Sus scrofa: one gene and its partner. The protein of the gene in region 1 binds, or shares a complex with, the protein of each later gene. Links are inferred from orthologs where the notes say so. Each region holds a gene or a part of one and is shown in the gene's direction. Other genes may lie near its edges.

Region 1 (6,698 bases):
TTGGTGGTAGGGATTGGGTGATTACCTGGCTCTATTGTCCCTCTGTGATAAGAGGGGGAAAAAATGAGAGGCTGTGACATTTTAGATACAGAGCAAAACGTTTTGTGTTAATCTGCAGTTTATTGTATTTTGTTTACAGGAGGCTGATTTCTTTCTCAGCGGGAGTTTGCCTGGGACCATTCAAGATCCCACCCCAGGAGAGTTTGTAATCTGGGAGGGGAGATGACACCTGCAGGGGTCTGGAACATGAGGCTCTCCTCACTAAGGTGAATTTATTACCTCATTTTAGGATGAGAGTGTAAATAAAAATTGGGTAATAGGCCAGATGACTGAAACAAGAACCTTGATTCAGAGGTTCCTGTTTGTATCTCTGCAACCACCTCAGAATGCACGCATCTGGTTTGTTCTGAGTCTGACCTTCTGTACAGACAGAAGTGTCTTCAGTCGGATTTGGGGAACTGCAGCTGTGGGAGGGTTCAGTGCATTGCTTCGCCTCATCTTAGGTAAGCATTTGTTTTCTACTTCTTAAGCAGTAGACTTGAACTTTTCTCCCTTGGAAGGGGGCTGGTACTGGAGGTTTTCATTTAATGGTAACTCTTTTGGATTGTGAGGCCATAATCATGAAACTGTCAGCCTCTGCCGGAGGACTGTCGTAAGGTAGTCTGGTAGGTACAGTTTTCCTTTCTGTAGCGTAGAATAACTTATGTTAAGATCCTCAGAAAAAGAGGAGTAAGGTTTGCTCTTAATAAAAGTGTAAATGATGATGATGGTGACAAAGCTCTCGCTTTTAAGTTGCTCGCCTGTGGCTTTAGATGGAACTGTGACTAGCTGTCCTTGAACTTGCCACAGAACTCTTCCTGAACTGTTTCTCTTCTCCCAAGCCTAGACAGGCCAATATTTAACCTTAAGGAGTCAGGAACTTAAATCTCTCAGGAGAGCTAGGCAGTTGTCCCTACTTAGCATACCCTCTCCATAGTCCTGATCACAGGAAAGTTGAAGTAGGATGGTTCAGGTGTAACCTGGTCTAAAGAAGACAGCAGGAGTAATGACTCCTAAGGTCCCCTTCAGGTAGAGGGTTGACCAGTGTAACCTAGCCAGTATTATAAGGAGCCTTGCAACCTACCAGTTTGTATTAAATGGACTTGGAAGGAAAAATGAAGATGCATTTTAAAAGATTCATTATGGGGACTCATATACCGCAAACATCCAAGAGCCTGGAGGTACACAGCCATGTATAACTCGAGGGGACCTAGCATTGCGGGTGGACCGGGCCGCCTGGGTGAGGAAAGGCAGTGTAGTTGTCTGTGTGCTCAGGGGTTGCTTGTCCTTGCTAGGGGCAAACCCTGACTCAGAGAGAGCGCCTCTCCCTTATTCTCTCTTGTAGTATCGTAGCATTTGAGGGTCATATCCACATCCTGTGTGGTAGTCTCATTGTCATGAGTTTCTTTTCTAAGATTTTTTTTTTCTGTTATAATTATGTCAAGGACAACAATTCCCCTACACTATTAATCATAGAAAAAGGGGTCCCGGTAGTTACAACTCCCCAGGAATGATAGAAGATATTTGTCAAGAGTTACATTGTGAAAGAACCACAAGTGCAGGTCCAAACATTTGGTCAACATGTGAAATAACTTACTATACAGAGTTATCTCAAGAACATGCTGGTAAATCAGGATCTGGAAAAAGAAGCAAGTTCAGTTGAGAATTCAATTAGCATCTATCGAGATGCTTAAGGTGCCTTTAATGAATGCTTTGGTTAGATTTTTACACTGAGATTCATAGATTTCTGAATTGTATATCTGAATAATAAAATTCTGAAAAAATATGTTATCTATCTATCTAGTTTCTATCTATATGGTAGGAATTTCTAAATATTTGCCAACTAAGTGGAAAACTTAGAACTTGACTAGAGTGTTCTTGGCCCTGTTAGGTGTTAATTCATCTGATGGGTGGTGACTGGGCTCCCTGCCTGGTGCTCTTACTCTGTGCTGGTGCTGGAGATGCACTGGCCCATAGGCACAGCTCTTGGCCTCATGAAGCTTATAGTCTTGGGGATGAAGGTAGAGAGAAAAACTTGAATCGAAGAAGCACATAAGTAAATAGATAATTAGTTGTGGAGTTCCCGTCGTGGCGCAGTGGTTAACAAATCCGACTAGGAACCATGAGGTTGCGGGTTCGGTCCCTGCCCTTGCTCAGTGGGTTAAGGATCCAGCGTTGCCGTGAGCTGTGGTGTAGCTTGCAGACGCGGCTCGGATCCCGAGTTGCTGTGGCTCTGGCATAGGCCGGTGGCTACAGCTCTGATTAGACCCCTAGCCTGGGAACCTCTATATGCCGAGGGAGTGGCCCAAGAAATAGCAAAAAGACCAAAAAAAAAAAAAAAAAAAAAAAAAAAAAGTTGTGACAAATGCCCTCAAGGAAAGTAAAATAATACTATTGAAACATGTGGCCTAAGGATTTGACCTGGGAAGAATGGTTCAGGAGAGGTTTCCGCGAGGAAACTGCATTTCACTTGGGAACTGAAAGATGAACAGGAGTTAACTAGGGGAAGAGGGTGGGAAGAGGATTCAGTCAGGGGAGCAGATTAATTTTGCTCTGATAAATGAAGATCAGGGAAACTCCGTTCTAAAACATTGATGACTTTTACACACACGGAGGAGCAGTGCAGTGTGGTAAGGGGACAGGCTCTGATCCACAGTGCCTGGGCTCGAATCTTCGCCCTGCCACTTGCTTTGTGTTTTAGGCGAGTCACTTCACCAATCTGTGCCTTAGTTTCCTCATCTATAAAACCTCACAGGAGGTTGTGAAAATTAAATTGATTGGTGTGTAGAGAATATAACTTTCTCTAGTTTATTGAATATCAACTACTGATTTCTAATGTGGTGCCATGTTAACTGGGGTGGGTAGGTGGGTGGGTGTAATCTGATCCTTTAATATTAAGAATGAGTCCTGGGGAGAGTGAGTGGCTTACCAAAGATGAAAGAAGTAGTTAACGGAAGGGCTGTTCTGGGAAGAGAATTTTTAAAAAATTTAACACTTTTTCTGTCAAATCATTGCTTCTCTATTCATTCACCCAGAGTTCTAATGGTGCATTTGAGTACTTAGGACTGAAAATGGGTATCTTTTATTTATCATATCGTTGGCACATTTCTTAGAACTTGTTGGAAAATGGTTTGGGTGTGGCTCTGTGTGTCTTCAGTTTGGCGACGAGATTTAAAATCTTTTTGGGGTCACTGGTTTCTTCTTAGAATAGAGTAGTGCATTGGCAGGATGTCTAAGTTGATTTCAGTTGGTTGTATTGGCAGCTATTAGCCCTTATCCAGTATATGCCAGGCACTTCACCGATGCTGTAGCACGGGCACGGGACACTCATAAATGAGATGCATATGATCCTGCCCTTGAGAGGGTAGATAAGTCTACACTGTAAATCAGTTCTTACTCTCCATGCAAATGGTGCACTGCTTTGGGGAATATATGAGAGCTATTTGCTGGGCAGTGAAGGGAGCACAATTAACTCTCTGGAGAAGAATTCATCCAGAACACGGCAGTGAGTTTGATGTCCCAGATGCGATGAATTAAAGTTACGATATAAAGGAAGCCCTTAATCATGCTCACCCCTGTACGCATGGAGTGAGGTGAGTGTTGTGGAGCAGGTATAATGCTGTGGCTGTTTTGAGAGAGGTCTGTATTTTCATTAAAAATACTCATGTTTGAGGAAACTTAGTGTGACTTTTGGTATATCTGAGTCAGTGTAATTATTATCTCCGTTGTCGTTGTCGTGATGGGATTCAAGAACTGAAACTTAAAAAGTTTCCAGTTTGTTCTGATTCATCATTTGCCATTCTTGTAAAGGTAGGTGCTCAGAACGTCAAATCTCCCCTAAGGCTACAAACTCTATTTCCTATCTGACTTTTAGGCTATAACACCTAGGTTGTTATGTGGTAATGCTTTCTGGTTGTCAAAGCACTGTTACCTACGTTGTCATATTCGATCCTTGCATTGTTATTCCCATGTTATGGGTGGGGAAACTGAGGTTCAGCAAGGGCAACTGATTTACAGCATAAGTAAGACCTAGGTTGGGCTGCCTTGAACAGTTTGATCCTAATTTTCCGGAGGGAGAATTTTGTTGATTAGAATACAGGGAAGGATTCTCTTAGGTAATCAGTTTTTATAAATTAAAATGGCTGCCACACATGCTGGACTTCCCACCAGAGCCGGGTAGGGTACTATGATGTTAATGCAAAAAAAAAAAAAAAAAAAAGAGACCTTTCCTCCTAGCAGATTCTGAGGTCAAATTACTCCAGAGTATTATGGGTGCAGGGATCATCTTCTCCTGAGACCAGCCACAGTAGAAGGTAGGAATCCAAGGCTGGTTGAATTGTAACTCTTTGGATTTAGAGCTCTTCTGTTTTAAGAAAATTGTGGGGCATTGTGCAGAACAGCAAATCTTTTCCCAAGAGCTAATATATAAAATAGACGAAATAGGAGTTCCCGTCGTGGCGCAGTGGTTAACGAATCCGACTGGGAACCATGAGGTTGCGGGTTCGGTCCCTGCCCTTGCTCAGTGGGTTAACGATCCGGCGTTGCCGTGAGCTGTGGTGTAGGTTGCAGACGTGGCTCAGATCCTGCGTTGCTGTGGCTCTGGCATAGGCCGGTGGCTACAGCTCCAATTAGACCCCTAGCCTGGGAACCTCCATATGCCGAGGGAGCGGCCCAAGAAATAGCAAAAAGACAAAAAAAAAAAAAAAAAAAAAAAAAAGATGAAATAAATACCACAGAGATAATATGGGTATTTTAAAAGTACACTTGCCCATACTCAGCCCAAGTCTTGTTCTATCCTACCTAAAAAAGTGAAAAACAAAAAAACAAAAAAACCAAAGACTCAACCATCATGTGGTTTCTTTGTCAAATGACTTGGTGAATGCCTCAACTGAGCTTACAAAATTTCCCCTTATTTGTGTACCGCCTTTCCTCCATGTCTGAAATGTTGTTTATATGTCTAAAAGTAGTCATTTTAATTTAGTTGGAGAGAGAGGTAAAAATTTCAGGCTGAGTATCCTGTAATCTTTTGTTTACATGAAACTTGAAGTTGTGGATTGAATAGGGTTGTCATCTCAAGGTATCCTGGAATTATTTGCTTTTTTTCAGTTGAAAATCAACTTTAATCTTCCCTTACAGCCAGTCTGAGGCAACCCCCAAGTGACTCTCCAAACACCACTTTGTTTTGATTCATCGTGATGGTCACCAGCATCCACTGTTCCTTATTCATTCATTTGCTGCTTTTTTCTCTCTGTCTCCCCCTACATGCAGACTGCACTTGAGCGGCGACCTTGTCTTCCTTGTTCACTGCCACATCGCAGTGCCTCAGACCCAGGCTGCTTCACAGAGGCACTCACTGTTGATTTGTTAAATTAATGAACTTCTCTTGACACTATTTTCTGATTTTTTTTTCTTGTATCTTCAGATTGAAAAGTTGAGAGCAGCATGTTTTACCCACTGAAAATCATCCTGATGCCAGTGTTACTGGGTAAGTAGAAGCCACTGGACCAAGGATGGTATTTGATTTCTCATAAGTCTCATGCATTTTAAAAAGCTAGTTTTATGTATTTTCATTTCCCCTTAGTGTGCTGAAAACGGAAACCCCAGCCTGGAACTTCATAGTTTTGTTGAAACAGATGCTTTGCTGAAGCAGCTGTTTTAGAGGCCAGGTAGCAGACTTTTTCTTGGAAAGCTATATATTCCTCTCTTTCTATTAGAAACAGAATGCCTTAGGGTCCTTACTGGGTGTTCCAGGACCTTCCTGTGGGATCCAAAAAAAGTTTCTTGCTGGCATTCCTGCACTTTAAGATGTTGTTTTTAAAATCACAGCTAGTCTCAGATTAGGAAATGAAATTACCCAAGAGAGTTCCAGAATCCCTGTAACTTTTTTCATGCTTTAGCCACGCCAGCCTTCTTGTGGTTCCTCAAATGCACTGAGCTCCTTCCTAATTTTGGATGGTTTCTTTTGCCTGGAACCTTCTCTCCCCACCTCACCTGAGCAAGCCTGCCTAAGCCTTCTTTATCCTCAGGCTTCTCCTTAAGCTCCACTTTCTTCTAAAAAGCCTGCTCTGGCTGCTTCCTCAGACCAGCTTGGATTCTCTTGCTCCTATGTGACCTGAGCGCTCAGGGCTGCATCTTCTTGCTCATCCCATTTCTTTCTCACATTTGTATCCTTTTAGTCCCCTTGTCTTTCTCTTTATCCTGTGGATGTAGCTCTGTAGGGAGAATAAATTAATTAGGTGCTTTGCTGTTATAGCCTTTCATCTCTCTCTCTCTTTTTTTGGCCACACTTTCTGCTTATGAAAGTTCTCTGGTCAGGGATCAAACCTGCGTCTCAGGAGCAACCCAAGCTGCTGTAGAGACAATGCCAGATCTTTAACCTGCTGTGCCAGAGTGGGAACTCATCACTTTTCTCTTTAAAAAAATTTTTTATTGAAGTATAGTTGATTTACAATGTCATGTTGATTTCTGCTGTACAGCAAGGTGATTCAGTTATACAAATATGTATTCTTTTTCATATTCTTTTCCATTTTGGTTTATCACATGATATTGGATATAGTTCCCTGTGCTATTGAGTAGGACCTTGTTTTTATCCATTCTATATTTTTCTTTATTATTAGTTTTTTGAATTGTGCCTGGTGACCTAAACACTGACTCAGCAA
Region 2 (6,598 bases), on another chromosome or scaffold:
AGTTCATTGTCACCACAGGAGTTGGATCTTGAGTGTTTTGCCTGGATTCATGTCGAAGATAAGGTTATTTACCCCTGGCATGTCTATAAAACAAAACACCTATGTGAAGCTACCCAGAAAGATTCAAACTGGTTAAATCCATTATTTTTTGGGCACACCCACGGCATATGGAGGTTTCCCAGGCTAGGGGTTGAATTGGAGCCGTAGCTGCCTAGCTGCCGGCCTACACCACAGCCGCAGCAACGCCAGATCCAAGCCGCGTCTGCAACCTACACAACAGCTTATGGCAACGCTGGATCTTTAACCCACTGAGTGAGGCCAGGGATCAAACCTGCGTTCTCATGGATCCTAGTCAGATTTGTTTCTGCTGAGCCACAGTGGGAACTCCCAAATTGGTTAGGTCTGACCACTCCTCTGCTTGTTATAATTGACCTGTTATTCAAACTGATAACCATGCTCCACCCTCCTCCCACCCTCCTCACCCTGATCTTAGGTAGGATTTCTTCCCACCTCAGTTTATTTTTTCAAAACCAAGAGGCCAAATCATATGACCTCTTCTACCTTTCTTTTATGTGTTTCTTCTGTCTGGAGGGATGAAATAGATTTTGCATATCTTGCTGCTGCCCCTAAAGAGCCTCTGTGCTGTGGAATATTTTTTGTCATCGGTGTGGCTGTGCTTCAGCAGAGACTGTGCCTAGCCGAAGGGGTCATGATTACTTTGGCTTTGACGTGAATGAACTAGACGCACAGTTGTTTGCATTCTGGAGACTTGCCTGTGCCTTGTCGAGTTTGCTCTGTATCCAGCTTCAGTTTTTTACGTATTGACCAAGTGGAGTTTGCTTAAAAACTCAGCAATGTGTGACTGTAAAAATAGATTTCATTCCCTCACCCTCCTCTTTCTGCCCATAGAAATGACTTCACCTGTTATATCTGTAAAAAATGCCTCTACTGAATACTCTGGGACATACAGCTGTACCGTGAAAAACAGAGTGGGCTCTGATCAATGCCTGCTTCGCCTGGATGTGGTTCCTCGTAAGTGTCTGTTCACTGTTGTGAAGATGTGTTTCATTATCTTGATACAGCCTCCTTGGCTACAATCAGCAAGTGTGTATTAAGGGCAGGGGGGTGCTAACTTTGAGCAGAGCACTCTGTGGTTTGGTTATTAGCTTGTCTAAGTCATGGAAAGGAAAAAGGTATGACATTTTATTAATAAAAACCTTCATTACTCTACTGACCTTAAGGCAAGAGTTGTCAGATCAACTCTTGTACTATATTTAGCCAATGTAAGTAAGTATAAGCTATTTAGAAATTCTTAAATGCCAGCTAAGATTGTGAGTATTAAAATCTTTCAGTGTGGTTTATTGTTTTTATCCTTGAAATAGAGTACACAGTTCAGAAGAAAGTTGTTTTAGTGGATTTTCCTTCAGACCGGAAAAAGCTAACTGATTTGTCTCTTAAATCAAGAGACAAATTCAATGAAATCAATCTGTCATTGTGTATCATTACCTGCAATGTGACTAGATGAAAAATTTTTTCAACCATTCTTTTTTTAATTCTAGCTTCAAATAGAGCTGGAACAATTGCAGGAGCTGTTATAGGAGTTTTGCTTGCTCTAGTGCTCATTGGTCTTATTGTGTTTTGCTGTCATAAAAAGCGCAGAGAAGAAAAATACGAAAAAGAAGTGCATCATGATATCAGGTAATTAAGTGGCAGAGGAGTTGACTGATGTATACTAAATGTATTATGTCTTTAAGGTGTTAGTTCTCATAATCATCTGAAGCATTTGCCCCTATGAGAATTGGATGAAAGCTTCTTCTCTTTTCCTTAATGTACTGGAAAGCTTATACTTTCAATTTCAAATGTGCAGCTCTAGCCAACCTCCACTGTGCCTCCTTCCCCATTTTGAGACTTACTTGTAAGAACCACTGCAAAATGCTTATCTCCAGACTCTCTGCCTTCTCCCACTAGAGTACAGGCATGAAATTTTCAAAAATGAATTGTTGAGGTTTCAAATAAAAAATCTGATTGTATCAAGTGACACGGGTAGTTAATAATTCTATGGTAATGTGATATTATTTTTTTAAATATTCTAAAATATTTTTCTAAATATTTTAAGATTCTGGTAAATCTTAACTAGAAATGCACATTGGATTGGATTATAGAACTTGTAAAAATAACAACAGAGGGTCAAACTGACACCCAGGAAATTGACATTTGATGGGTCTAGGATCTGGACATTTGTATTTTAAAATGCACCAGAAGTGACTCATATATATTCCATGTCAGTGCGTGGTATGAAAATTCTTATGCCTAATTCTCACTTTTTTCAAACTTAAATCTGCTCAAAGTTTTCAGCTGAAGTCTTAGATGAGTAACTTTCATAATAAAAAAGATATTTTACCTTGTTCTTTTTTTTTTTTTGATAGAAATATCTGTAGATGTTGCTTTATCGACTATTAAGTGTTATTACATGACTCTGACCAGATTATCTTTGTCTGTGATACTAGAATATGAAAACATTTGAGGTTTGTTCTTTGTAACACAGCATTATGGAACTATGTACTTTTAATTTTTTAATTTTTTTTGTCTTTTTGCCTTTTCCAGGGCCGCACCGGCAGCATATGGAGGTTCCCAGGCTAGGGGTCTAATTGGAGTCGCAGCCACTGGCCTATGCCTCAGCCACAGCAACTTGGGATCCGAACCTCGTCTGTGACCTACACCACAGCTCATGGCAATGCCTGATCCTTAACCCACTGAGCAAGGCCAGGGATCAAACCCGAAACCTCATGGTTCTTAGTCAGATTCGTTAACCACTGAGCCACAATGGGAACTCCTGGAACTATGTACTTTTATAACAATCACATTATTATGTGTGAAGGTATAAACTCTGTAAATGATAAATTTGAGATAGATACGTAGTTCACAACATCACACCTTATTGTGCTTGCTTTTTGTGTGTCACACACCCTTCTTTTTTTCAAGGGTCTGGGGGTGGTTCACGCATTGCATGCAGATGTTCTGGGGCCTGGGATCGAACCTGTGCCATGGTAGTGACAATATTGGGTCCTGATCCCACTGAGCCACCAGGGAACTTCCTCACGTACACTTTTATATGCTTAGTGCTTAAATAGAAGATCTTCCTTTCCCCCCATGATTCATAGCTTACATGATTGTAGGTTTCTAGAAACTTGGTCTTTGAGCGCGTATTGTGATCTTTCTAGGGAAGACGTGCCTCCTCCGAAGAGCAGAACGTCCACTGCCAGAAGCTACCTCGGCAGCAACCACTCGTCCCTGGGATCCATGTCTCCTTCCAACATGGAAGGCTATTCCAAGACTCAGTATAACCAGGTACCAAGCGAAGACTTTGAACGCGCTCCTCAGAGTCCAACTCTCCCGCTCGCTAAGGTAGCTGCCCCTAATCTCAGCCGGATGGGAGCGGTGCCTGTGATGATTCCAGCCCAGAGCAAGGACGGGTCCATAGTATAGAGCCTCTGTACCTTCATCTGTGCTCTCCATGTTCCTTTTCTCTTCTCAAAGTATCAACACCTATTCTGTTCTGAATTTTGCTACCAGCCTCAAAATATATCAAAAAGAAGTTCACCAGAAACGGTAAAAACTCCAGGTTTTGTGCAGTTATATTGAAATAGTAAAGGCATTAAAGAAAGTTCTAAGGACAAATTCACCTTCTAAGTAATATATCCTTTAAGAGCTTGATTTTATAGGGTTCTGGGTATCAATACTTCAGTCAGATGTAGCACTTTGAGTGTGAAGTCATAGGTGAAGAAAGAAATTGGTGAACTTACATGCATACCAAGCTGATACTTGAATCATCTGAAAGTGGTACTTTATAGTTTCTACCATTACTTTTAGGTTGCCTTTTTCAATTAATTTATGACCCTGTAATTCCCCTGCCCCCAAATTGGTACAGAAAGATTCATGACAAAAATAGTCACATACATTTATGTTGGTTCTTGTTTTTGCTTCAGTGAAAACTCTAAATGTGTTTAAAGTATCTCTAATAAGTAGAAAACACTACAGTGTTCTAGAAACCACTCGTTCTGAGTCATTCATAAACCTTGTCTATGAAATGACTTAAGTGCTTAATTGATAGGTTGCTCTGGGCAGCAGGGACGTAGTAAGCTCCTTTTTTATGCTAAAATAAAGGAGCATCTGTCTGGTCCATTTGGAAAATTTGCTGTCAGCTACATGTAGTGATGGTAGTAGTGGTGCAATAGTGAGGGTGGACTTTGTTGCCGAGTGTCTTGATGCCTTGAGGCCTGTGCAGGTCTTCAGAACCCTGATTTGCTGTCAAGGATGTGTAGTGTTTTGCAGTTCTCAACCAAATGCTGGCCCTCCACTTTAGGCTATATTTTTCTAGTAAGAAAAAAGTATAACTCATTTATTATCTGACAGTTATAGAATATCTGTAACTCCCTAATTATTGGTTCTAAATTAAAAAAAAAATTTACCCCTGATTTAGTGGGGGTTTGGGGTGGGGGAGGGTTTTTGTTTTTGTGATGGTGTTGCATAGTATATGTTCTAGGAATATACTCTTAAATTTGCCATCTTGAATGCTGTTCCTGGAGGATATTGTCTTCATAAACTTAGAATGATGAAATACACCCTAAACTAGTAAGTGTCCTCCATCAGTTCTGTATTTCAGACTTGGGAGGATGTACCGTTGCTATTGTATGGCCAACACGTCTTGTGTAGTTGCAGAAAATCAAGTTGAGCTTTGAAAAGTTTGTCTTAGTTTTGTGGAAGTGACTTAATCTTAAAAAAAAAAAAAAAAAGGAAAGAAGAAATGAAAGGAGAAGGCGTAAAAGGAATACTCCTACCTGCCAAATGTATTGAATGCTGTCTTAGTAGATGAAAGTGAATTTATTGTATTTCCCTTAAGATTGTGAGGAAGCGTGGATATATAGCATATAGTAGAATGAGCCATCAGTTTCTTTATAGTACATAAGGTTTGCAATAAATTATTTCATTAGCTCTAAAACCTTTTCCCTAGATTTCAGTAGGGAGTTGGTTTCTGTTCATCTCTTTGGGTGCTGTGGTGGTAAATGCTACATTATAAATTAATGTTGGCATGAATTTATGATTAGGCAGAGTATGTATACACTTTTTAATGGTAAACGTAAGCTGAATGTATAGTGAATTAGTGTATAGTTTGACATTTTTGGAATAGGTTTTTAATGTTACATAAAATTTGCTTTTATGCTTGTGTTAACATTTTCATCTGTGCCTTTTGGGTAATTCAGTTTTTATGATGAATTTCTGGTGCCTATGAGCTAGCTATCACCTGAAAGGTGCTTAGAGGTGAAGGTACTGTTCCTAAAAATGCATCACTGTGATACCTTTCTATCCTTACACTTGCCTCTTCTTTTCTGTTCTCTTTGGATGCAAGTTAACTGATTATGTTACTTGTCATGTTTCTACAATTTCGACATCCCCTACACTCTTTGTGTTTCTGATTTTATAACAATAACTATTTTTGAATACTGGATTCCCAGTCTGTTTTATATGAATACAATTTATAAGATATTTTAAGAATAAATAAGATCACGAACATTAATAATAAAACATTTTTGGTCCTCCCTATTTCCCATTTTCGTATAATGAAGATCATGCTGTCAATCTAAGTAGAAATTACTATGAAAAGTGGACATGTGTAAGGCTTTCCTCCCCTAGACTTGGTAGTTAGTCTAGGATTTGACTGTAAGGACATCAGAATCTCCCAGAGGTGCTTCCTTCCAGTTCAGGTCGATACCACCTACAACCTGAAAAACAAGCTCGGAAAAAGCCACTGTGTGACCTGAAGACACTATTGGATGTGGTTGGGTTTAGAGGACAGACTTCAGTTTTAGGTTTATGTCTCCAGCTACTCGTTGTAAATTTCAGCTAATCCAAAAGTGAGATACTGCTGGTAATTTCCCAGACAATTCTACCTAATAATTTACTTTGAACTAGAGATCAAATATTTGTTCTGGAATTTCTATTGGTAATTATCAAGCAGTTCAACAAAAAATTGTTAAACGTTTCCATTAGAGTCAAACATCAGTCAAGGACAGCACTGACTCTTCAAAGTAAAACTGTTCCATTCCACTTTATACCTAAGAGACTTGACACCGACACCACATTCTTTTGAGTTATGCAGGAAAACTGTAAAAGAAATGATATCATAGAGGATGCAATTCTATGCTTTTAATATGTAGATGACAGGTGTTCTTTTTTCTTATTGGCAATCTTATCAATATTTCCCTGTTAGAATGCAAAAAAAAAAACAAAAAAAAACTTTATTGATTACACTAGCTAGTTATTCCAGGCAAATAACTTCTTTGAAATTTGGGCAATCTACCATGGAGTTGTAATGGAAACGCAGCCTGAGCGTGGCTATTAGGGGGAGGTTAATTCAAGAAACACAATTAGATTATTGGTATGAATTAATACATGGTTTTTATTTAAAAGATAATTTTTAGGATTGAGTTCTGGAGATTTGGAGCAAGTGAAGGGGCAAGTAAACCTTTTGATTAAATATTTTTAAACTCATTGCATGATGTTGGAGATCAAATTCTGTAATGTATGGCTTCTTAAAATA

Evidence for each region. The genes of interacting proteins can lie anywhere in the genome.
Region 2: the proteins of JAML (region 1) and CXADR are in contact, whole or in part, in a crystal structure (PDB 3MJ7), measured with the Mus musculus proteins. The link is inferred for Sus scrofa from reciprocal best matches to the Homo sapiens genes JAML and CXADR. Residues at the interface, in NP_001005421.3 of Mus musculus: Arg57, Asp59, Ala69, Tyr72, Phe75, Tyr77, Leu80, Val82, Glu120, Arg122, Ser127, Met128, Val129, Met130, Lys131; in NP_001020363.1 of Mus musculus: Thr23, Gly51, Pro52, Asp54, Glu56, Leu58, Ser60, Gln65, Ile66, Val67, Asp68, Gln69, Val70, Leu73, Tyr83, Lys121, Lys123, Lys124, Ala125, Pro126, Gly127, Val128, Asn130.

Annotation. Positions count from the first base shown.
Region 1 is NC_010451.4:45,528,556-45,535,253, reverse strand, and holds the start of JAML (junctional adhesion molecule-like precursor), read left to right. Parts: upstream 1-2,579; 5' UTR 2,580-2,669; intron 2,670-2,940; exon of another isoform or gene 2,941-3,632; intron 3,633-5,461; 5' UTR 5,462-5,481; coding exon 5,482-5,524; intron 5,525-5,620; exon of another isoform or gene 5,621-5,705; intron 5,706-6,698. UniProt on the Homo sapiens protein: Transmembrane protein of the plasma membrane of leukocytes that control their migration and activation through interaction with CXADR, a plasma membrane receptor found on adjacent epithelial and endothelial cells.
Region 2 is NC_010455.5:182,181,177-182,187,774, forward strand, and holds the end of CXADR (coxsackievirus and adenovirus receptor), read left to right. Parts: intron 1-909; coding exon 910-1,032; intron 1,033-1,559; coding exon 1,560-1,698; intron 1,699-3,221; coding exon 3,222-3,486; 3' UTR 3,487-4,801; downstream 4,802-6,598. UniProt on the Homo sapiens protein: Component of the epithelial apical junction complex that may function as a homophilic cell adhesion molecule and is essential for tight junction integrity.